Linked DNA regions of Caenorhabditis elegans. The protein of the gene in region 2 interacts with the protein of the main gene of each other region in a pairwise test. Each region holds a gene or a part of one and is shown on either strand. Other genes may lie near its edges. The genes, in order: clec-48, stam-1, zipt-2.3 and ant-1.1.

Region 1 (4,998 bases), on a different chromosome or scaffold from region 2:
TAATGTACCTAAATTACAGGAAATTTCCGCGGAAGATCAAGAGATTCTATCGATGCTGAAATTGGATCAAGTAAGAGACTTTGTGCACCAGAACTTCTAGAACTACGGGAATATTTTCAGAATGCTCATAAAGCAATTTTGAATCTTCGCAACTCGGATTTTGAGGGTCTTGAGCCGGAAGTTAAAGACACAATTATGTATTTCAGAAAGGTGAGCATTTCCTGATTCTGAACAACTGAATTTTATAGATTTCGCTCAAAAACTAACAGATTTACGGCTAATTTTCAAATAGAGTGAAGGAGGGGAGAGAGCGCAGACGACGAGAGTGTCTCGTTTCTCTTTCTCTCCTCACATTACCTCACACTCATTATACATTTTTCAGATTGAAATGGAAGACGAGGTATTCGGAAAAGAGCCGGTGGATGCTTCTGATAGTGACGAAGTAAGTATTGAGGGGGAGGAGAGACCGCAGACAGTAAGACACTATAACTGTCTGCGGTCTCCCAAAAATTAGAGGAGGACCTAAGCAAAAGCCTAAGACAAAGCCTAAGCCTAAGTGTAAGCTTGAGTCTAATTCATAGCCATAGCCAAAGCCATAGCCAAAGTCAAAGCCTAAGCCAAAGCCAAAGGCAAAGCCGAAACCGCAGCCTAAGCCTAAATTAAAGCCTCAGCATAAGCATAAGCCTAAATCTAAGCCAAAATATAAGCCCCTAATTTTTGTAAATTCTTCTTCCAGAACGTCAAAAACAGCACCACTTCTGAGCCTGAAATTGAAGATGACACCGACTCGGACATCGAATCTGAAATTCTCGAGACTGATGAGATGGATGACGTTTCCACTTCTCCAACGATGACGTCATCGGCTCCAAAATTCGCTCTCATCTTCATTATTCCAATTTTCCTTGCAATTCTTCTGTACTTGGCGCCAATCGATTTTTCGGAACTTTTCAATGGACTCTATGAGAACTGAATTCTACTTGCTGATATAAAAAATTACTGGATTATTTTTTGTTGCTTGAATTATTTAAAAGCAGGGTGTTAAAAAGCTTAGTTTTATCTTGAAATTGTACTACTAACAACAATTATCTAATTATGAATCGAAGCCTTCTTGCAAATATAAGCCCGCATCACTTCATTACACTCCAAATTGTTCCAGTTTTCATACCATTTATCATGAGAAAGATCGGGAGCAGTTTGCACGCAGAATTCTTTTTTCGGATTGTCAGGCTGCTTTGGAGCCCAGTTGAAGTAGTCCGATGGGGTACCGTCAGTCCATACCCAGTCCTGACCGACTTTGTGCATACCGATCCATGCGAGGTGTTCATATTTACCTTCTTTGATTCCACAGGAGGCAATGTCTGAAGTCAAAAATGTTGCGCAAGCCTAAACCAGAGCCCAAAATATTAGATACTCACTATTCACAAAAGTGTTTTCTGCCAGCGAGTGAATCGAGGCGAGATGTCCTCCCAACAGCACACACGATGCCTCAGCGTCATTAAACTTTTCACCATGGTACACACGATAACAGAAGTCGGTTGGAGAGAAGTAGGTCCAGCCTTGATCACAAGACGGGACACACTGTTTAATGGGACATGGAGCTGGGGTAGGGCATGTGGTTGCTGGAAAAAGGCAGGTTTAAAATATTGACAATGCTGACTATATTACTGTTGCAGTAATCAGTTGAGTTCAATAGAACCTTGACAACCGGGTTTTTTAAGTCTTGATGTCAGAGTTGAAGAGTATGTTCCTATGGTTTTTTTCGACGCAAAACGGGTTCCGAAATATTTTTTATGTGGAATGTTCTTACCGCGCGTTTAGTCATCGTTTTAGCAATTTTTGTGTAAAATTCGCGTAGCTCACGCGTTTACCATAATGAATTTGTTGATCACAATAAAAAAAACAACAGAATTCTGGTTTAAGAGATAAATACACAGTGATCTACTTGTGATCTACGCGAATTTTACACAGAAAAGGCTAGAAATGATGACTAAATGAGACACGCTTACACCACGTGGTGATGACAATATTTCAAATGAGTTTCATTTCACAATGGCACGAAATTCAAATTGATGTTTTAGTTCACTTACGAATGGGTGTAGTGATTGGTGGACACGTGGCAGTCATAATAACAGGAGTAACACATAAATATGGCCTGTAGGAAGTACATCCAATAGCCGACCAGGTTCCGTCTCCCTTATCCTGAATTGCACAATCACTTCCGGATTGAGGCTCGCCGAGTTGCCAGTTGGAATAATCAAATGTCACTGATGGATCTGTCCATTTCCAGGTACCAGATGTCTCGAGATCGTTGGCTCCGATCCAGTAATCGGAGTAGTTGGATTTTTTGAAAGAGTTGGCTGCATTTGACTGGAGAAGAGCGTTTTCTTGGCCGTTCTGGACGGAGGCAAGGTGGCCACCGAGGAGGTTACATTGCTGTTCGGCAAATGAGAATTGAGCGGGGGCGGTGAAGTATTGGTAGCATCTGGAGAACGGACAGGTAGGTAGGTAGGTAACCATCATCAAAGAAACATACCTATTAAACTGCGAATTATAAATCCCACCGGTGTTACAGTTCTGTGCTGTGGCGGCTCCCAATAGCCCGAATAGAAGTAGTGTTAACCTGATCATGATGGAGCAGAGAAAATGAGAGTTCATAATGGAATATAGTCTTTAATAAAGGCGGAGTCAATTTTTAATGGTCAATAAAACCTGAAAACCCCGGAAAGAAACCCGTAAAAATAGGAAGCACACGTCTATGATAAGACAACAGTTCAATTGACCAAGTAAGTGTTTTCTTGAAGCACGGGGTACATAGAACAAAATATGATTAGGCAGACCACATGGAAATCAGAAATCAGAGATCAGTATCGAAAATTGCTCCTAGAGGGTGCTGGCCGGGCCGGTAGCTGGGGTCCTCGGCACTGTGGTACTACTGTACTGTACTGTGGTATTGGTACTATTCGGAAATTCTGACAGCGGCACCCTGGTAAATCCAGGTCTCAGTTCAATTTAAGCGTACAACTAAAATCTGAGAAGCTGTCAAGCCGACTTCATTTATTTATTTATTTTGATACGATTAGTTAATCGTGTAAAAAATTAAATACCAATAGAACACATACACATAATCAAATAAAGCAATCAATATAAAAAGAAACATAGTCATAAGAAATACATAATAATCAATTGACATGTAAAGTGTATAATTATCACCTGAAATTGAGATTAGTAGAGAGACAATGCAAGAAAACATATGAAGAGGGTAAAGAATACAGCTAACTAGGCAATTTTTGGGACTTGACAATATCCAATTAGACCACACTAACCTTTAAAAGTACTAAGAGCCCTATTTGCGAAAAAATGCCTTCTTAATTTTGTTTTGCACTTCGCCCAGATGAACTTTGTTTTGGTGCGAGTTTTGTTGTTTTTATCAATTTCAAAGAATTTATTTGTATCAATATCAACTTTTTTCGCCAGCATTCGCTTAATGAATTTTCTATCAATAGCCATTCTTCGAGATTCTAGGGAAGATAAATTAAACAGTTCATTGCGTTCGGTTGCGTTTTTATAGTCTGGATCGTCCGTACGGGTGTATCTGTCTTTTTGCCTACTATATAGTTTTCTTGTAAATGAGTTTTGCACTGATTCAATCGCTTTAATGTCTTGCTTTTTAATGGGCTACTGACTTCTGTACCATACTCTAGAATTGGGCGTACGAATGTTTTGTACAACAATGTCCTAGAACTACAATAGTTTGCGAATACCTTCATGCATCTTTCAATTCAATTTTCAACAGTATCAAATGTGTAACCAATTTATTAAATATTAGTATACATATCAATATATCTATGCATGAATAGATCCCTTCTTGCAGATATAAGCTCTCATCTCGGTGCTGCACGCTTCGTTATTCCAGTTCTCATACCATTTATCGTGAGAAAGATCCGGCGCCGTCTCCACACAATTTTCCTTTCCTGGATTGTCAGGCTGCTTTGGTGCCCAGTTGATGTAGTTTGATGGGGTACCGTCAGTCCATACCCAGTCCTGACCAACCTTGTGCATACCGATCCATGCGAGGTGTTCATATTTACCTTCTTTGATTCCACAGGAGGCAATGTCTGAAGTCAAAAATGTTGCGCAAGCCTAAACCAGAGCCCAAAATATTAGATTCCGGCAATGTGCCGGAATAGAAAACTTTAGGCAAATTTGACAAGCCGGCAATTTACCGGAACTTAAAGTTTCCAGCAAATCGACAAACTGGGAAATTGCCGAAATTGAAAATATCCGGCAAATCGACAATCTGCCGGAACTGAAAACTTCCAACATATCGGCAAAACGGCAATGTGCCGGAATTGAAAATTTCTGGCAAACTGGCAAACCGGCAATTTGCCGGAATTGAAAATTTCCAGCAAATTGGCAAGCCTGTAATTTGCCGAACGGCAATTGCCACCCACTACAAAATTGACCAAAATTGAATACCCACCTGCAAAAAGCTTCATGAAAAACTGAAACAGCACCGGTACGGCCGCTGCAAAGCCGGTCTTCTCCACTGAATAGCCTCCAATATCGTGTAAATAGACAGGTGAGTAGATGTGAATCAGTTGGACGGCTATAAGATCTCCCAGAGCACCAATCCATATACCCCAGACAGATGGAGTTGTGAGAATTTCCAGGTAAGGTGTCGCCTCTCGCTTGCCATTTGCTGCGTCGGACTTTCCTCGTTGGATTTCGAGAAGCTCCGAGGACTTTACCAGCTTGTTGGTGCCTGGAATTAGACTGTGTTAGACGAGATTAGACCATACTGGCAGTTAAAGGTGGAGTACCGAAATTTGAGAATTTGCCATTTTTAGACCCAAAATGGTCCGAAACTACCGAATTTCAAAGTGAAAATTTTCGAAAAAAAAAGTTATGACCGCTCAAAGTTTTGGAAAAAATGGCTTACTTTTAGCTAAAATCTCAAATATTTTTTAATTTCCTATGGAATCCCATAAAAATTCTGCC
Region 2 (6,301 bases):
CATATTGAAATTGTTTGAAGAACAAACGCCCGTTTGAACGCACCGAGCTGAAAATTTTACTTTTTCAAAAAATTTTAATAAGAAAATTAATATACCTTGGGATTCTGTAATAAATATTGATGACACGCAGTTAATAGAACATTTGGTTGATGTGATCCTATTGTTTTCAATGATTCTGCTACTTCATTTTTCACACTTTCTTGGTGTTGGTAGGTGGTTGCTGTGTCCAGAAGACTCATTATCAGGTCTGAAATTATCGAAATATAATAATTAGATGGGATTACTACGAAACTGATATTTTAATTACAGTTTTATATTAAATTCTTTCAAATTTATAAACCAAATTATTAAAAATCCAATTTCAGGTCTCAAAACATTTTTAAAGCAAATCTTACCCAACAAGCTAGAAACCTGGCTGGTTGCTGCCATTTTGTTGCTGATTCGATGCAATCCACTTTACATAGATTTTGGAATGACTGAAAAAAGATAAAATAGTCTAGGATTTTTAATTAACCGAGGAAACTGAAGGTAAGAGATAAGTTTTTAAGAAAAAATTCGAAAGAATATTTTTTTGAAATTTTTTTCAAAAATTGTACCGAAAATATTCAGAACAGACATTAGGAATATTATTTTTAACAACCTATTAGTTGTTCTCTTGAAGGTTGGCTACTGCCAGTGGGGAATGTGTAAAATAATTCCTATGCTGTGACCAAATGACTAAATGTCATAATAAAATTGTCAAAAAATTTGGAAATTATGGAATTTTTCTTCGATTTTTTGACTTAATTATGTTTAAAATACTTATATTCCAACATTGTGGAGATTCAAACATGCGACAGTGATTTAGATTTTTCAAATTTGACTCGAAATAAAAAATTCCAAAATTTTTTGAAAATCTTTATAACGAGATTCGGTAATTTCAACAGCATATGAATAGTTTTTAATAATTTCCCCATTAGTCGTAGTCCACTTTTAACTTTAATTAATAATTAAAACCATTAAGGTTTAAAACCGAATTTCAAAAAAAAATTTCGATATAGAAGACTAAGAATAAAATATAACTTTAAAGAAAGAAGTTATGAAAGTTTTTGTGAGTAAAATGAGTACCAATGTGTATTTTGGGAGGCACGGGGTTGGTGATGAACATTATGTGTTGTATTACGCATGCCATAGACCAGTTTTGCGCGGATTGCATGATCAAGTCGATTGACTTTTCGTCTTTTTCGATTAAATTGATAACCGATCCAGAATAATACTTATATAATTTCATTGAATTACAAAATTCAAATGAGTTAGTAAAAAACTAGAACATTCAGTAAAATTTCAAAGCTATTTGCAAACCACAAACTTGAAATTTGAAAAAAATCAAACATGGAAACTCTAGACAGTGTACACAGGACAAATTACACTGATTAATCTATATCAACTCGCCAAGTTTACAAAATTTCGTCGAAAAACTGATAAGCACATGCAAAAATTCGTGTGAATTGGCTCTAGATAGAAAAATATGAATTGGCTCTAGATAGAAAAAATAACTAAATCGATAATGTTTCGTGTCGTTTTCGATGTATTTTTATGGCTCGCTATCGGCAGCAGCTACCGCTTGTGGCTGTTGTTGGGCCCCTTTTTGACGAATTAGGTGAAGAGAATCGAACGGAAATGAAAATTTATATGAACACAGAGTGGAAGAGTGGTGAGAGAGAGAGAAAAGAACGAAAAGCAGGTGGAATCAACAATGAAAGTGCAAACAATTGTGCTTATAAACAATTTGGATTTGGATTTTTTTTCAACAATTTTTAAAAATTCTATTACGATGAGAAGTAAGAAATATGAATGGAATAAATAGAAGTCTGAACAAATTTTTTTGAAAACGAAAAATTGAACATTTTGTTACGAAGCGTTTTCAGGTTCTAAAGTATTATTTTTTAGGAAAAAACATTAAAAACGTCCCAGTAATCTACTTTTAATAATTTTGAACTAATTATTGAGTAACATTTAGTTTTAAAAGTTTAGAAAAAGCATGGACACTGAAAATTAAAAAAAAACATGTTTAAACAGAGAAAAAAATTTGAAAGATTAAAGGAGCGCGCGATTTGTAGCATGAGGGTCTGCCACGAATTCTACAGTTGTTCAGATCATTTTTTTTGAATTATTCCACAATCTTTCTTCTCTTTGGAATTTAATTTTTCTCGAAAGTTATTTAATTTTTCTATAAAAATGTGCATTGCAGTTTTAAAATGTTTTTTTTTTCAATTAAACGCATGAATGTGATTGGTACACGCGTGAGACGCAAGTTCTCGAAAATCTGCGATTGCGAAAGGCAAAAGTATTCATTTTTTCGAAAAAATAAACAAATTGCTCAAACTAAATTGAATATCGATCGTCTTTGCCCTCAATATTTTAAATATCACGCTTTTGAAAATTATTTCGAAATAAATATTCAGTTTCAGTGAGACTCATTCAATTGAACCTGATCACGTGCTGAAAGTCTGCTGTAACAATGAAGGTTTGTTCGTTTTCCTATCTCTACTTTAATTAAAAATAGTGTTAAGAGTAATTGTTCATTCAAATAGATTTTTTTTCATTCAGTAAAAAATGATTAAGTTTTCGGAAAGGAAGAAAACAAAACAAAAACATAGAAAAAAGTGTGCACGAACGAACACACAAAGCATATGCGTCAGTGTCTTAACCCGTCTAATGTCTCTTCATCCCCCTACACTCTCTCTTTCAGTTCACCCGACTAACACATTCAACAAGCAAACCCGTTATTGATTCAATTTTCTTTCGTAATATTCCTTTTTTATATTTTCAGAAACAAAAGTCATTTCCAATGTCTGCTTATGAGGATTTGCTCGGAAAAATCACTGCTCCAACTATCACTGTTGAGAATTGGGAGGGAATTCTCGCATTTTGTGATATGGTTCGTTCAATTTGTTTTAAAAAATGTATAAACCTTTTCACTGATTTATAGATAGAATTCTTTGTCGTTTGATAAAAAATCATATTTTAAAATTAAAATTTCCTCCTTAAATTTGCTAGCTGATTTTCACCGAAAATCATTGATTTTGGACTAAACTTAATGTTTTAGTTTAAAATTTTCAGATTAATAACGACTTCGAGGGATCGAAAACAGGAATCAAATCACTTCGTAAACGTCTCAACAATCGTGATCCTCATGTTGTCCTTCTAGCGATTTCTGTACTTGATTCGTGTTGGGCAAACTGTGAAGAAAGATTCAGAAAGGAAGTATCGTCTGCACAATTTATCAATGAACTCAAAGCTCTTTGTACATCGGTGAGTTTTTGTTTAAATCTGAAATTGTTAAACAAAATATCAAAATTTCTTTCATGAAGTTTTGTATTTCTTTAATAGATATAGTATACGCAGAAAAGAGATAAAAAAGAGAAATAGAGTTAGAAAAATAAGTATAATACGAAAATACGATACATTTCACCGCGTTTACAAAAAAAAATACAAAAATTTACAATTATTATAGAGTCAACGCCAAGTTGCTGAAAAAATGCGATTAACTGTTCAAAAATGGGTGGATACAGAATGCAAAACTGAACAATCACTGTCACTTATCGTCACTCTTCACAAAAATCTTGTTGCTGATGGCTACTCATTTGTTGTGGATGATCCAAAAAGTAAAACGAAAGCGATTGATGCAAAGTTTGCAAATGATCCGAATTATGTGAGTTGTGGAAGTTCGCGGCAATAAATATCAAAAATTAATAATTATTATAGGTTGGATCTGCTCAGGAAGAAGAAGCAATCGCAAAAGCCATTGCTGCTTCATTGGCGGATGCAGAGAAACAGGAAAAAGCAAAAAAATCAACATCCACAATGTATCCATCAGCAAAAGCAAGTAGTCCAGCAGTTCAGACTAATTCGAATATTCCGGAAAAGAATGTTCGAGCGTTATACGATTTTGAGGCTGCTGAAAGCAATGAATTATCTTTTGTTGCTGGAGATATTATTACAATTACTGATGAAAGGTAAGCAACAAAAATGTGTTCTAGTTTAAATTGAAAGCAATCGCTTAAAAATCAAATCAGGAAGTTCTTCAGTTTTTTTTTTTGTAATTTAAAATTAATCATACCGAACCTTTTCGTTACTGACTGCTTCTATCAATTATCAAAAAAAAAACAATTTTTTGCAGCAATCCCCACTGGTGGACTGGTCGTATTGGTACCCAACAGGGACTTTTCCCATCCAGCTTCGTTACTAATCAACTCGATGATCTAAAATCAAAAGAGACGGATTCATCACAGAAAGCCCCAGAAGTTGTAGCCTCAATTAATGAAGCAATCCTTGTTCGTTGTCTTCAAGTACTCCATGAATGTGATCCTACCGGTGAACGACAGGATCCAGAGGATTTGGCCCAACTAGAAGCCGCCTCGTATGCTCAAGGAAATCTCATTGATGCACATTTGGCTAGTATTGATCGACAGAGCAACTCTCTAGCACAAATCGATGTGGCTATTCGTGATGTGCTCGCACTTTATGATGATGCGATTCAGAAGGGAGGATTTCAGCATCAAAGTCAAGGAATGTACCAACAACCAATGCAACAGTACAACTATCAGCAACCAGTCAGTTTTTATTCAGAAAAAAATATTTAGAAAACTGAAATTTTTCATTCTAAGCTTCACGGTAATGCCTATCAATTCAAAAAATCGTATTTTTCAGCCAAACCGAGCATATTACCCACCTACCGGTCCTGTCCAACAACAGCAGCCACAACAATATCCTCCACAACACTATCCGGCTCCTGGAGCACAACCACAGTACGCATGCCCACCGAATTCTGTTCCCCAACCTCAACAACAGCAACAACAATGGCCTGCTCCGTCTTCACAGCCTCAACAATATTAACTTTTTGATTTGTTGTGAATATCACCTTTTCCTCCTTGAATCTGTAACTAGTTCCATTGATATTGTGATCACTTCTAACTTATTTTTCTCGATTCGCCACCCGTTTCTGTATAGTCTTTTGCTTCCTCGAGTTCTCGATAAGATAAAAATGAATTCTTTATTGAGTTTGAGGCAAATATTTATTATACACGAAAATAATCGGATAAATTGAGAAAAGGTAACAAAAATTACAAGAGGTCCGGATCAAAAGATGGCATTGAAATTGATGCATTGGCTGCTCGAATGGATCGTTTACCCCATCCACCGCCTCCCCATCCACCTCCACCCCATCCACCTCTTCCACCACCCCATCTTGATCCTCCCCATGGATCATTGTTTCCCCATCCACCACCTCCATTTCCACCCCATCCTCCATTATCTCCGAAATCGTCACGTCCCCAACCTCCACGTGGTGGTTGACGAGATGGATTAGTCTGACGAACTTGTGCAACTGGAGCAACTGATCCAGCTGTAGTTCCACACATTCTACGAAGCTCTGATTGAGTATAGCAACTGTTACAGCTTGATCTACAATTCTCAGCCATCCATGGATTTTTCTGACATTCACCGACACGAGCCCATCCGGCACATGATCTATGGTAGTCGACGCATGCTGAAATATATATTTTTTAATTATAAAAATATTTTTTTAAAAATAAAGCTTACATCCATAATTGTAATCTTCAGGATAGCAATGTCCACATGAAACTCGACAATTACATGCCATATATCTTGTATTTTTTCGGCATTCTCCCATTAATCCCCATACAGCACAGCAAACATTCTCATTGAAACAACCATCAGAATTATCACACTGTTGAGCTGGAGCAGGTGTCGTCGTGGTTACTGTAGTACCACCTCCTCCACACTCTTGAGCACGTGATCTACCACATTTATTACAACTTTTACGGCAATTTTCAGTCATCCAGAGTTGATTTTTGGTGCATTCACCGGAGCGGGACCAGCTACTGCATTGGGTATGACGATCAGTGCAATCTGGAAAATTATCGTAATTTTGCAGTTTTTCGATACACGAACTTAGAGGTGCATGGGTTTATTTGGTTTTTATGGGGCTTGGAGGAACTTTTATTATTTTTGGTCAGTTTTTATTTGTTTCATTTATGTGAGAGTTTATATTTTTCAATTTTATCTTTCTAAACATGAACGGCGCCGGAAAAATCTAATAAAGATACCATAAACTTTTTCCCGGTGGGACCCTTTCAAATAACCCCATGTACCTTTAATTTTCTGAAATTGCCAAATTACAATAGCAAACTTTTTAAAAAGAATTTTACCGAAAAAACCCTTGTGGTAATTTAAATATTTTTTAATTAAAAAATCCTAAAATACAAAATACACTCACCATCAGCCAGTCGATATTTGG
Region 3 (6,264 bases), on a different chromosome or scaffold from region 2:
GCGGGTTCCACGCGCAGAACCCGGAAAACGTCGGCCGCTTTGCAATCTGCATCTTCCAGACTCGACCAAACCCTCGGAAAACCGGGTCAGTACGACGGGAAAGGGTCGCGGAAGGGACATCCTGTGACAATTGGTTCCAGACTGTCGCGTCTCGAATTACAGGTTTGTCAATGAAATGGCGAAATGATAAGAGATCAAATTGATAAGAAAACGAGAATTTTTTTTTCTGAATTTCACACCTTTTGGTCAGAAATGTTGCGGAATTTGGAAGAAAATGAAAAAAAAAAACAATTAAAGTTCTTAAACTGTGAGATAAGAAATGTTTTGAACTATTTTTGGTCCAAACTGTACCGTCAATTTCATCGTATCTAGAAAGTATCCCTACAGTAACCCTACAGTAACCCTACCGCACCTCTGATTTTATATAACCTATCCTACAGTAGCGCAGTGTTCCTACAGTAATCCTAGAGTAAGCCTAGTACTGCTACCCTACAGTAGAAAAAGGACCCTTCAGTAATCCTACAGTTCCCCTACAGTAACTCTACCGTACCTCTATATTCATAGGACCCCTACAGTACCCCTAGCGTAATACTGCTACCCTACAGCAGTGAAGGGATCCTACAGTAAGGCTACAGTAACCCTACAGTACCCCTAGCGTACCTGTGATATCATCACTTTTACAGTGTCCCTACAGTACCCCTCCCCCCCCCCCCCCCTACATTCCCAACCCCTATACCTCCAAGTATATCGTACTACTACAGTACCCCCCTCCTACCGTACCTCTAAATTTATAGGACCCCTACAGTACCCCCAAACTACCGTACCCCTCACTAAAACCCTCTCATTTTTTCAGATGTCAAGCCTCGACCGAAAAGTGGAGTCTAGTAACCGAACACTGAACGCTCTCTATCGCCTAATGGCCGACCGGAACTCGCTGACGATATCTCCATCACCGCCGGCACTGATAAGTAGGCCAGTGTCGCCTGCCGCCTGCCTATCACCACGAGATCAACTCTCGCCGACAAGCATCAGCAGTCAAAGATCCGGATCACCGGGCTGGCAGTAATGTGTATCGATTGATTTTAGGGGGCATAATTGTGGCCAAGGTTTTTCACGACCACGACGCATCAACAGCGGGTATTTTTCATTGATTCTTTTCATTTTCTCTTACTGTGGTTCAAACATTTCTGGTTTTGTATTCAAAAAAAAATTTCAAGACAAAAAAAAAAAATAATAAGTTTATTTTTTCTTTAAATGTTGTTTTCAAATCTACCGGTATGTCAGATATGACGTATAATATGCAAGGTGTTAAGAAATTGTGAAACAAAAAAAAAAAAGATTAGGTAGCCCAAATCATGTTGACAGCGAGAAGGGCGAATCCTCCAAAACTGGCGATCCACTGAAGGATGTTGGAGTGGTTGTTGGCACGTTCTGGGGCAAGGATCTGGAAGAAAAAAGATATATGAATGGGGTTAATTGTAGGTAAAGTGGCTTTACAGTAATCCTACAGTAATCCTACAATAAACCTAGAACTGTCACCCTATAGTAGTATAGTGTTCCTACAGTAATCGTAATACTACTACCTTATAGTAGAAAAAAGCTCCTACAGTAATCCTCCAGCAAACCTAGAGCTGTCACCCTACAGTAGTAGTGTTCCTACAGTAATCCTACAGTAAACCTACAGTAATATATTGTTCCTACAGTAGTCCTGGTACTGCCATCCTACAGTACTAAAGAGTTCCTACAGTAATCCCACAGCAAACCTAGAACTGTCACCCTACAGTAACAAAGTGTTCATACAGTAATCCTACAGTAACTCTAGAGCTGTCACCCTACAGTAGTGTATTGATCATACAGAAATCTTAATACTACCACCCTACAGTAATCCTACAGTAAACCTAGGACTGTCACCCTACATTAGTATAGTGTTCCTACAGTAATCCTAGAGTAAACCTAGTACTGCCGCCCTACTATAGTACAATACCCCTAAATTAACCAATACATTAACCCCACATGGCCGCCTTACCATAATACAGTACCCCTACAGTAATTCTACAGTAACCTCGCACTGCCACAATAGTGTCTTAAACTCACCTCAAAAAAGGAGATATAGAGAAAAGTGCCGAGGGAGAAGCTCATCAAAACCGCCGTCGTGATATCCTTCGGCGTCTGATTCATATTCGAGCTGGAGATCAGAATTCCAGCTGTTCCGCCGATCACGTTAAACAGTGCTAAAACCAAAATAAGAATTACGACAATCCAACTGCGTCGCGGATGAGTTCTCGTGAGCTTCATCCCAAGAGAAAACATGACGATCGCCTTATGCATGGCGATTCCCAGGAAGATCGACGTGACTGAAACTGCATCCTCTTGAATTCCAAACGCAAAGCATTCGAAGAAGACGTGAAGGATGAAGGCCGAGGTGAAGATGATTGATTGGCGTACCGGACCCTCACCGTCGTCGTCGTAGTTCTGAAAATGTATGCTTACTTAAAATGCTCATAACTCCGCTAGGCCAACTATTATCAAAATTTTGTTAACTAACAAAATATGAAGTTTTAAATTTTCTATATTTTGTTAGTTGACAACTTTTTTACTTTTCAAGCCTCTAAAAAGTTATGACCGTTTGAAATATAGACACGTCTCCAGATTTCTTTTTTGAAACCCTTGTAGATCAAAGTTAAAAATACTATACATTTTGTACATTTGCACATAGTCTGTCATATTCTTATCACCACTAAGTTATCAGTTTCCAGTTCACTTCAACGAAAAGCTTTTAGTCCAACCAAAAAAAAAGTTCACTGAACCCACCTCTAGACTTCTCTTGCACGGCTCCACTAAATTCCCCTCCACATTGAAAATACTGCCTACAGTAGCTAGTCTCGCACGTGGAAATGTCACATTGGACTCCATAATTGGATCATTTGAATGTGAATGCCCATGGCCTACATTACAGATCACACTGGATAACTCTTCGGTGAGGTAGACGAAGAAGAAGCCGAGTAGGGCGATTAGTTGGACGAATGGGTAGTCACTGGTGTAGTTTGTGTCGGTTTGTACGGATTCCCAGGCTTCTCTGAAATGCTTAGTAGACGTTCTTGCATACATACATGTTTGCTTGGTGGCCGCGAAAAAAGAAAACTCGTCCACCGATTTAGAAATTTTTTTAGCAGTTTTTCAGGGTTCTTTGGGTTTTTTTTCATAAAAATTTAATTTTATTTCCACGACCAGATGGCATTTTTTGTGATTTAAGATTTTTTAAAATTATATTTCCGTTTGAAATTGCAAGAAAAAATTTTTTTGGGAAAAAACTAGGCCACCAAATTAAAAAAAATTTCAAAGAATTTTTGGAGCGATTTTTTTCAGAATTATTAATTTCTTTCCGCCGTTTTTCTTCCAATTTTTGAAAATTATTCACAATTTTTTCCAATTTTTTCCAAACTTACAAGCAATCCGGTAGCATATCCAAAAAGCATACAGACAGGAAAACTCCTCCGGCAAAACAGGAAAATAGTGAGAGAATAAGGGAAGAGTGTTGGTGAATTGCACTTTTCGTCGTGTTCAGGTAGGAAATTACCTGAAAAAAAATTGAACAATTTTATCTTGAATTGCTGTATTTAGCCTGAGCCTTGGCCTAATAGTAAGCCTCAGCCTAATAAGCCTAAATAGCGTCAGTAACGCGCTAACGCTCGCCACTGACGCCAAGCTTAAGCCTAAGCCTAAATAAGCGTAAGCCGAAGCCTAAGTCTAAGCCTAAAAGCCTAATCCTAAATCTTAGCCTAAGCCTAGGCTTAAGCCTCAGCCTAAGCCTAAGCCTCAGCCTAAGTCTAAGCCTCTGCCTAAGCCTAAGCCTCAGCCTAAGCCTAATCCCCTTTTGGAGAATGATCCTACTTGCCTGCCTGCCTGCTTTAACATACGTTTGCCTTGTGTCTACAAAGTAATCTTTTAAATGGAATTAGTAGGTAGGTAGGCGTAAGCAGGTAGGCAGATAGGCAGGTAGGCAGGCAGGTAGGCATAATCAAGGCGTTCAGGCATTTTATTTGCGTAAAAATTCAAAAAATACCCAATATTCAAAAATCTTACCTTTATCGGTAATAGGCCAAAAATTATAGTCATCAAGGCCATAACTCCGAGCATAATCCATTTGAGCAACTCCAAAGACATATTTTGTTCGACCTAAAAATCTGTTGAATGAGTTGATTTCAACTAGAAAAGAGCACAGCAAAATTGATAAGAAACTAGGGCGGAGAGGTCGGGAGAGGCCTTTTTCGATAAGGCCTGGCACATATAGGCCTATCGAGTTTTATAGGTTTTTGCCTGTTTCGTCATGAATTGACATTGTCGTGTTTCGGTGTTTAAGACGGTGGGGCTTTTGGAGTGTATTACTAGAGTTGATGAAAATTAAACACATTTTATGACTTTGATACTGATGTGTACGTTGAACTTGCCGGTTTTTTAATCTAGAAAATTTAAAAAAGAGACAATTTTTATCCTATCATCCTTTTTTTCCGTATTTTTCCACAATTTATTGTTTTATTTTGTCACAAGCTTTATAGGCAACTTTTTTTTTCAACATTTTAAAAACTTGTTCCTTGTCTGAAAGGTTTCTTTCTAGTGATCTGCGCCTTCAAATTTTTTTTTCAAAAGAATTTCAGTTCCTCTAGGAACTTGGCAAGAAATTGGCAAAATTTCTAGAACTTTTTGGTAATCCTACAGTACCCTACAGTTCCCCTATAATACCCCTAAAATACTCATACATTACGCTTACAATACTTCTACAGCACTTCTTTAGTAACCCCACAGTAATTCACGAGTAGTCCTACAGTAATTATACAGTAATCCTTCAGTAGTCACCCTAATGTACTACTACAGTAGTTTTACATTAATCATACAGTACTCTACAATAATTCTATACTAACCCTTCATAACCCTACAATACCGTACAGTATTCCTACTGCCCTCCTACAGTAACCCTACAGTATCGTTCGAGAAAAAAAAAACCTGAATAGCTTAATTATAATTGAATTTCCGCGCCTATTTTTTCGTGCAAAATTCCAGAAAGAAACCAAAAATGGCTTAAAACCGGTATTTTCAAATTTCCGTGTATTTTTTGCATTTTTTTGCGGTAAATTTTTTGAAAATTTCAAAATCGAATATGCAATTTAAAAATGTTATGATTGAAGGCTTGAAAAAAAAACTATTTAACAAATTCAAAATTGAGCCGCTTAAAATGCCAAAACAGTTGTAAATAATAATTTGACAAAAACATCATCATTTCAAAATGAAAAATGTAGAAAACATCCTGCTTTTCAAGCCGTGTGGGCAAATAAACAAATAATAAAGAAGTACTTAAAAACAAGGTTAGCGCCACGTCACAGAACAAGTATCGTGGCCGCCAAACGGAAAAGTTCGGCCACCGAGAACAATTACTTTATTTTTACAGTTGACAAATTGCAAAACGATTATTTGAAGCTTTGAAGCAATGGAACAGAAAATCGAAATTTCCCGGTGATTTAGAAAAATCGCAAAATTTTCCACGAAAATTCCTCCCTCTATATGTATTTTACGATCATATTTGCGAACACCTGTAAAATATTTTTATTGGTTTCGGGGTGATGCGGTTACCGTATTCTAGTTGATCGAAAATGTTAAAAAATTTCAGTGATAATCATTTGTTTTTCTATTAGTTTTTAGTGAATGGAGAAGAATGAGCCATATTTCATCAAAAATTGGAACTTAAAATTTTACAAATAAAAGTGTGTGTTTTTTTTTTTTTGAAATTTTTATTCCAAAATCAGGAGTCGTTTTTGAACACTTCCCTTTTTTGCTAAAATTTCTTTGACATTTCAGATCAACTTGCGATTCGTTTATTTTGTCCCCTCGGGGGACTGGGCCGAGCCCGGCAGCAGTGCAACGCCAGGACGACTCTTGGGAAGTCGGAGCAAGCCCCGAGTCTTCCCTAGGTTCCAAAAATCATATAACCTTTATTACACTCATTCGAGTGTATACCGTAGGTTAATACGATAAGAACAGATACTACACTTTGATCTTAGCTAATAAGCCGAAGAAGCGATACTGAATGGACGAGGCGGCAGAGGTAGTGGGGAGCTGTGTACCGACACTTAAGGGGTGCGCGTGTGCCATTATGCAATGAGCGCAGGCAGAGGTTGGTTGCCTTTTTTGGTCTACAAAAAATGCGGGATTTTTACCCACCAGACAGATGTGACGTCGGCTGAGAAATCGGTCTCTAAATACCCGCAATTC
Region 4 (4,807 bases), on a different chromosome or scaffold from region 2:
TTTGGAACAAATGAATGATGTTGGTGCAAACTCCGTTCATGAAATCTTGAGAGTGAGAAACCACCAACAAGGTTCTTTTATACTGAGCGAGTTCCTCCTCAAGCCACACACAAGCTTCCAAATCCAAATGATTGGTCGGTTCGTCGAGAAGTAAGACTGACGGTTTCAGGAAAAGTGCACGAGCGAGAGCAATGCGCATTCTCCATCCTCCAGAAAAATCTTTACATTTTTTCATTTGCATAGTTTTTGTGAATCCAAGTCCGTGCAAAATTTCGGCAGCCTTCTTTTCAGCGAGAGATGCATCCATTTCATCCAGCCTTTCGTAAACATCCATCAGCTTGTCCTGACTTTCCTCATCAGTCTGACTAGCAAGCTGCTCGGCAAGATGTTCCAACTCTTTTCTGACTGAATCGACATCAACGACCGCTTGAAGAGCAGTTTTCTCTGAAGCAGGCATTTCACGGGATACGAGGTACATATCCACGGACTCTGGGATTGGCATTTCCTTGTTGTAGATTGCCTGAATGATGGTAGACTTTCCAGATCCGTTCAATCCGATGAGTCCGTAACGACGTCCACGGTTGAGTTCGAGTTTCGTGTCAACGACAATTTCACGACCGTGGAATGTAATCTGAATGAAAACAAAGTTACTTGTTGGAGTCGCCAATTAAAAACCACTTACCGTCAGGCTTTCTACTCTGTGATCAAGACCCTTTGGATCGGAAGTCAATGATCCGGCGACTGAACGAGCAGCAGCGTTTTCCAATTCGATTTTGGCCAAGGTGGCGGCGGCCTGATCGAGCTCCTCGTCTAAACAGCAGAGACTGTTGACGGACGGATGTTGAGATGACATGGCGGTTGGTGTTTCTACCTGGAAATGAGATGATTATTATTTGTTAAACAAAAAAAAACTAAAAATCAATTGCTCACCTTCTTTTTTCCTTTTCCTCCTTTGGCGGCAGCCTTCTTAGCGGCCTCGCGTGCTTTCTTCGCATCAGACGGCATTGTTGTCCAGCAGTGATGCGGATGGGGTACCCTAAATTTTTATTTATTTATCTCTCAAATACACGGAAAAAGCGACGGATAAAAAATACGAGAGCGAAAATTCACATAAACTAGACGAGAAATCCTCAAAAAAAGCAGGAAAAGAAATATTATTTCAACGAAGCGAAGGCCTTTGGCATGGCACAGTGATCCAAATGGTGAACGTAGTCAGCCATCTCCTGATGGCAGGTCTCCTCAGTGTTAGAACGAGAGTTGACACGATCGTTGCACTCGTCGAGAATACTCTTGAATTCGGTGACATGGTCGGCACATCGCTCACGGTATTGAGTAAGTTGATCGACGTCAGCCTCGAGTGGCTCTTCCTTGTGGCTCGACATACTGATACCCGAAAAAAATTCCATGATAGTGACAAGTCATTGGCTCGATGAGAAGAGAAATATGAAGAAAACTACTTTAAAGCGATTCGAAAAACCGGTCATACCAAACTCCCGTAGGCATAAATTAGCCACAATGCGATATCGATTTTTTTCGGAACATTGAGGTTACGAATAACCAGTTATCTACAGTGTAAATAAACAAAAAACACTTCAAGTACTGCTTATCACTAATACACTATTGTGTTTGCTTTGACATGGCTCATAATTTTCATAAAAACTGAAACTTTCGCAATTAAGTTACTTTCTTGGAGTTATGACCTATTTTTCGAAAATAAATCACGTTTTTTTAATAAAACAAAACGTGAAAAATTCAGGAATGAAGGAACGAACACGTTTAGAAAAGAAAAATACGAAAAATCGATAACAAAACTGATATTTAGGCTCAAAATATGCAAAAAATCCCAAAACTGGGCGGTCAGAGAAAACTAGTGTTTGAATCGCCGCGCCTGACGCACCGTACTTGCGAGCGTGGCGAGACCTGCAAAGTGCCTCACGGGCTGTGCGCGCACCCCGTTTCGACGGGCGGCCGTCTTCCCACTATTGCTTCTGGCAAGCACCGACCACCGAGGTCCTTCAATCTTGAATCATGTCCAAAGAAAAGTCCTTCGACACCAAAAAGTTCTTGATCGATCTCGCCTCAGGAGGTAAGCTTTTTCAGTTTTTATTGCAAAAATTTGGAGGATTTCTATAATTATTAATTTTGGGTTTTCATTCGTCAAATTTGTGATTTAATTAATTTTGTTTTCTTTTAGGTACCGCTGCTGCCGTCTCCAAGACCGCTGTTGCCCCAATTGAGCGTGTCAAGCTTCTCCTCCAGGTGTGTGATGAAACTTTTTTCCACTATAAATATGAAAAATTTTAGGTCCAAGATGCTTCCAAGGCTATCGCCGTTGACAAGCGTTACAAGGGAATCATGGATGTTCTCATCCGTGTCCCAAAGGAGCAAGGAGTTGCTGCCCTCTGGAGAGGAAACCTCGCTAACGTCATCCGGTACTTCCCAACTCAGGCCATGAACTTCGCCTTCAAGGACACATACAAGGCAATCTTCCTTGAGGGACTCGACAAAAAGAAGGACTTCTGGAAGTAAGTTAAACATTGCATTATTGTTTTTAGAAAATTTCACATTTGAAATTCAGGTTCTTCGCAGGAAACTTGGCTTCCGGAGGAGCTGCTGGAGCCACCTCCCTCTGCTTCGTCTACCCACTCGACTTTGCCCGTACCCGTCTTGCTGCTGATATTGGAAAGGCCAACGACCGTGAATTCAAGGGACTTGCTGACTGCCTTATCAAGATCGTGAAATCCGATGGACCAATCGGACTCTACAGAGGATTCTTCGTCTCCGTGCAAGGAATTATCATCTACCGTGCCGCATACTTCGGAATGTTCGATACCGCCAAGATGGTCTTCGCTTCTGATGGACAGAAACTCAACTTCTTCGCCGCTTGGGGAATTGCTCAAGTTGTCACAGTCGGATCTGGAATCCTTTCCTACCCATGGGACACTGTTCGTCGTCGTATGATGATGCAGTCTGGACGCAAGGATATCCTCTACAAAAACACCCTCGATTGCGCAAAGAAGATCATCCAAAACGAAGGAATGTCCGCTATGTTCAAGGGAGCCCTCTCCAACGTCTTCCGTGGAACCGGAGGAGCCCTCGTCTTGGCCATCTACGACGAAATCCAGAAGTTCCTTTAAATTTGATAACACTTTGATAATTTTTACCTTGTCATTGTCCAACAAAATCTCGTTATGTAGCTTGTTTTAGCAAAGTAGTTCACCTAGCTACTATGTTAAGTTTTCAAAAATAAAGCGAGCCACATAAAAAGTTTTAAATCCTCTATTAAAGTTTTCCCCTTTTCAAATTCTCATTCTTTCCCTCAACACCCCGATTGAACATTCGTTAGGATAGCCCCTTTATCTGGACTCGGTTTGACAATCTCGGTTATTGCACCTGTGTTTGCCGTTGATCTTTAAAATTACTCGAACAACAATAAAACGTTGTTGATTTTCCCTTCGTTCAATTATGTGCCACAGAAAGATTTCAAACCGTAGCCGTTTATTAACGATGAGATTTTGTTTCGCAAGCAATGAGGTTCATTTGGGGTCAGTGGGGGAAGTGAATGCCAGGGAAAGCGAGAAAACAATGTGAGTAGGAAAGTGCAATAGTGAATAGTTAGACGTCAGAAGTGTCTGCGAAGTACGCATGGCGTAGAGCTGCATCGGCATCGATTCTTCCTGCTGGATTGCAAACAAGAAGTTTCTGCAAATACTTCGAGTTTGAGTAAGTATAATTTTTATTGGAAAAAAGTTACCTGTAAAAGATCACGGCCACGTGAATTCAAATTAGGTACGATTTGGCTCCATGTAAGCGTTGGATGGTAGATTGGGTAGGGCTGAAAAATGGTATGTTATACTTGTGTGTTCCTATAATGCAATGGAATTCAATTAATTATTGTCAATCTTAAATCTAGAACAGTTGTCTCTGCTTCTCTAAATCTACTCAATACTCTGTTCTCTGTCCTGTCCCAGCCGCCCGTGATTGTATGAATTACGTCACCCGAACAAACAGCTGAGCTCAAAGTACTCAATATCATTTCTTCTTTCTATCTTTTTCTTTTTTAGTTTTTCACCAATTGACACGGGCGGATAGTAGTCGGGAGGACAGGACAGCGGCAAAATCGTGGCAGGTAAAATGGAAAAGATAAGAAGACGGAATTAGAGAACTAAGAGAATTTGATAAGAATATGTAGAGGTGAAAATACAAAAAATTCAAAGAACTACGACATGTAATACCTTATAATCTGGAAGTTGTGTAATTGATGGCCAATTATCTTCGGATGGGCTGCCCAATTGCTTAAAAATTCGTTTCAATTGATCGTCAACATCAGCACCGGGGAATAATGGACGACCGGCATTTGAGATCTCTGAAAAAGTAAAAATTAGGAAAATTTATTGGCAAATTTAATTTTTAAAAAAAACCTGCAAAAATACACCCGGCAGACCACATATCAATTGAAGTATTGTACAATTTCGCTCCAAAAAGCACGTCCGGCGGTCTATACCATAACGTGACAACTTCTGCACTAAAACATCGAACTGGGACGCCAAACGCCCTGGCTAATCCAAAATCAGCTAGTTTCAGTGTCCCATTTGTATTAATCAGCAGGTTTTGCGGCTTGAGATCTCGATGAAGTACATGGTGAGCGTGGCAAAAGGATAAACCACGGAGAAGTTGAAGCATTAAGGATCGTGCAGTTTGTGCATCCATATACCCATTCAGCGAGTCGAAAAATTTTTTCAAATCCTGATCGCAATACTCAAAAACCAGTGTCAACTTGTTTTCTGAGTGAACAACGTCGTAGAGC

The links.
Region 1: the proteins of stam-1 (region 2) and clec-48 interact in a two-hybrid assay, tested with the Caenorhabditis elegans proteins (one large-scale study listed by BioGRID).
Region 3: the proteins of stam-1 (region 2) and zipt-2.3 interact in a two-hybrid assay, tested with the Caenorhabditis elegans proteins (one large-scale study listed by BioGRID).
Region 4: the proteins of stam-1 (region 2) and ant-1.1 interact in a two-hybrid assay, tested with the Caenorhabditis elegans proteins (one large-scale study listed by BioGRID).

The regions. Positions count from the first base shown.
Region 1 is NC_003283.11:18,155,657-18,160,654, reverse strand, and holds clec-48 (C-type lectin domain-containing protein), read right to left. Parts: upstream 2,778-4,998; 5' UTR 2,629-2,777; coding exon 2,534-2,628; intron 2,483-2,533; coding exon 2,088-2,482; intron 1,620-2,087; coding exon 1,416-1,619; intron 1,359-1,415; coding exon 1,087-1,358; 3' UTR 1,041-1,086; downstream 1-1,040. Other genes in the region: C14A6.13 (STP1 protein), read left to right, coding at 20-70, 121-210, 383-442, 737-970.
Region 2 is NC_003279.8:5,900,839-5,907,139, reverse strand, and holds stam-1 (Signal transducing adapter molecule 1), read left to right. Parts: upstream 1-2,444; 5' UTR 2,445-2,500; coding exon 2,501-2,506; intron 2,507-2,812; coding exon 2,813-2,920; intron 2,921-3,102; coding exon 3,103-3,294; intron 3,295-3,496; coding exon 3,497-3,694; intron 3,695-3,747; coding exon 3,748-3,998; intron 3,999-4,162; coding exon 4,163-4,595; coding exon of another isoform or gene 4,596-4,625; intron 4,626-4,692; coding exon 4,693-4,878; 3' UTR 4,879-5,035; downstream 5,036-6,301. Other genes in the region: hpo-27 (Maestro heat-like repeat-containing protein family member 1 homolog), read right to left, coding at 1-47, 96-247, 396-429; tyr-4 (ShKT domain-containing protein), read right to left, coding at 5,106-5,530, 5,584-5,913, 6,281-6,301.
Region 3 is NC_003280.10:13,711,680-13,717,943, forward strand, and holds zipt-2.3 (Zinc transporter ZIP3), read right to left. Parts: upstream 4,201-6,264; 5' UTR 4,165-4,200; coding exon 4,084-4,164; intron 3,578-4,083; coding exon 3,447-3,577; intron 3,077-3,446; coding exon 2,812-3,076; intron 2,584-2,811; exon of another isoform or gene 2,523-2,583; intron 2,473-2,522; coding exon 2,095-2,472; intron 1,445-2,094; coding exon 1,340-1,444; 3' UTR 1,227-1,339; downstream 1-1,226. Other genes in the region: kqt-3 (Potassium voltage-gated channel subfamily KQT member 1), read left to right, coding at 60-162, 854-1,066.
Region 4 is NC_003281.10:13,461,203-13,466,009, forward strand, and holds ant-1.1 (ADP/ATP translocase), read left to right. Parts: upstream 1-1,960; 5' UTR 1,961-2,028; coding exon 2,029-2,086; intron 2,087-2,194; coding exon 2,195-2,259; intron 2,260-2,304; coding exon 2,305-2,525; intron 2,526-2,578; coding exon 2,579-3,137; 3' UTR 3,138-3,450; downstream 3,451-4,807. Other genes in the region: abcf-2 (ABC transporter domain-containing protein), read right to left, coding at 1-631, 683-871, 931-1,005; T27E9.2 (Cytochrome b-c1 complex subunit 6), read right to left, coding at 1,155-1,382; cdk-5 (Cyclin-dependent-like kinase 5), read right to left, coding at 3,616-3,702, 3,755-3,835, 4,236-4,366, 4,422-4,807.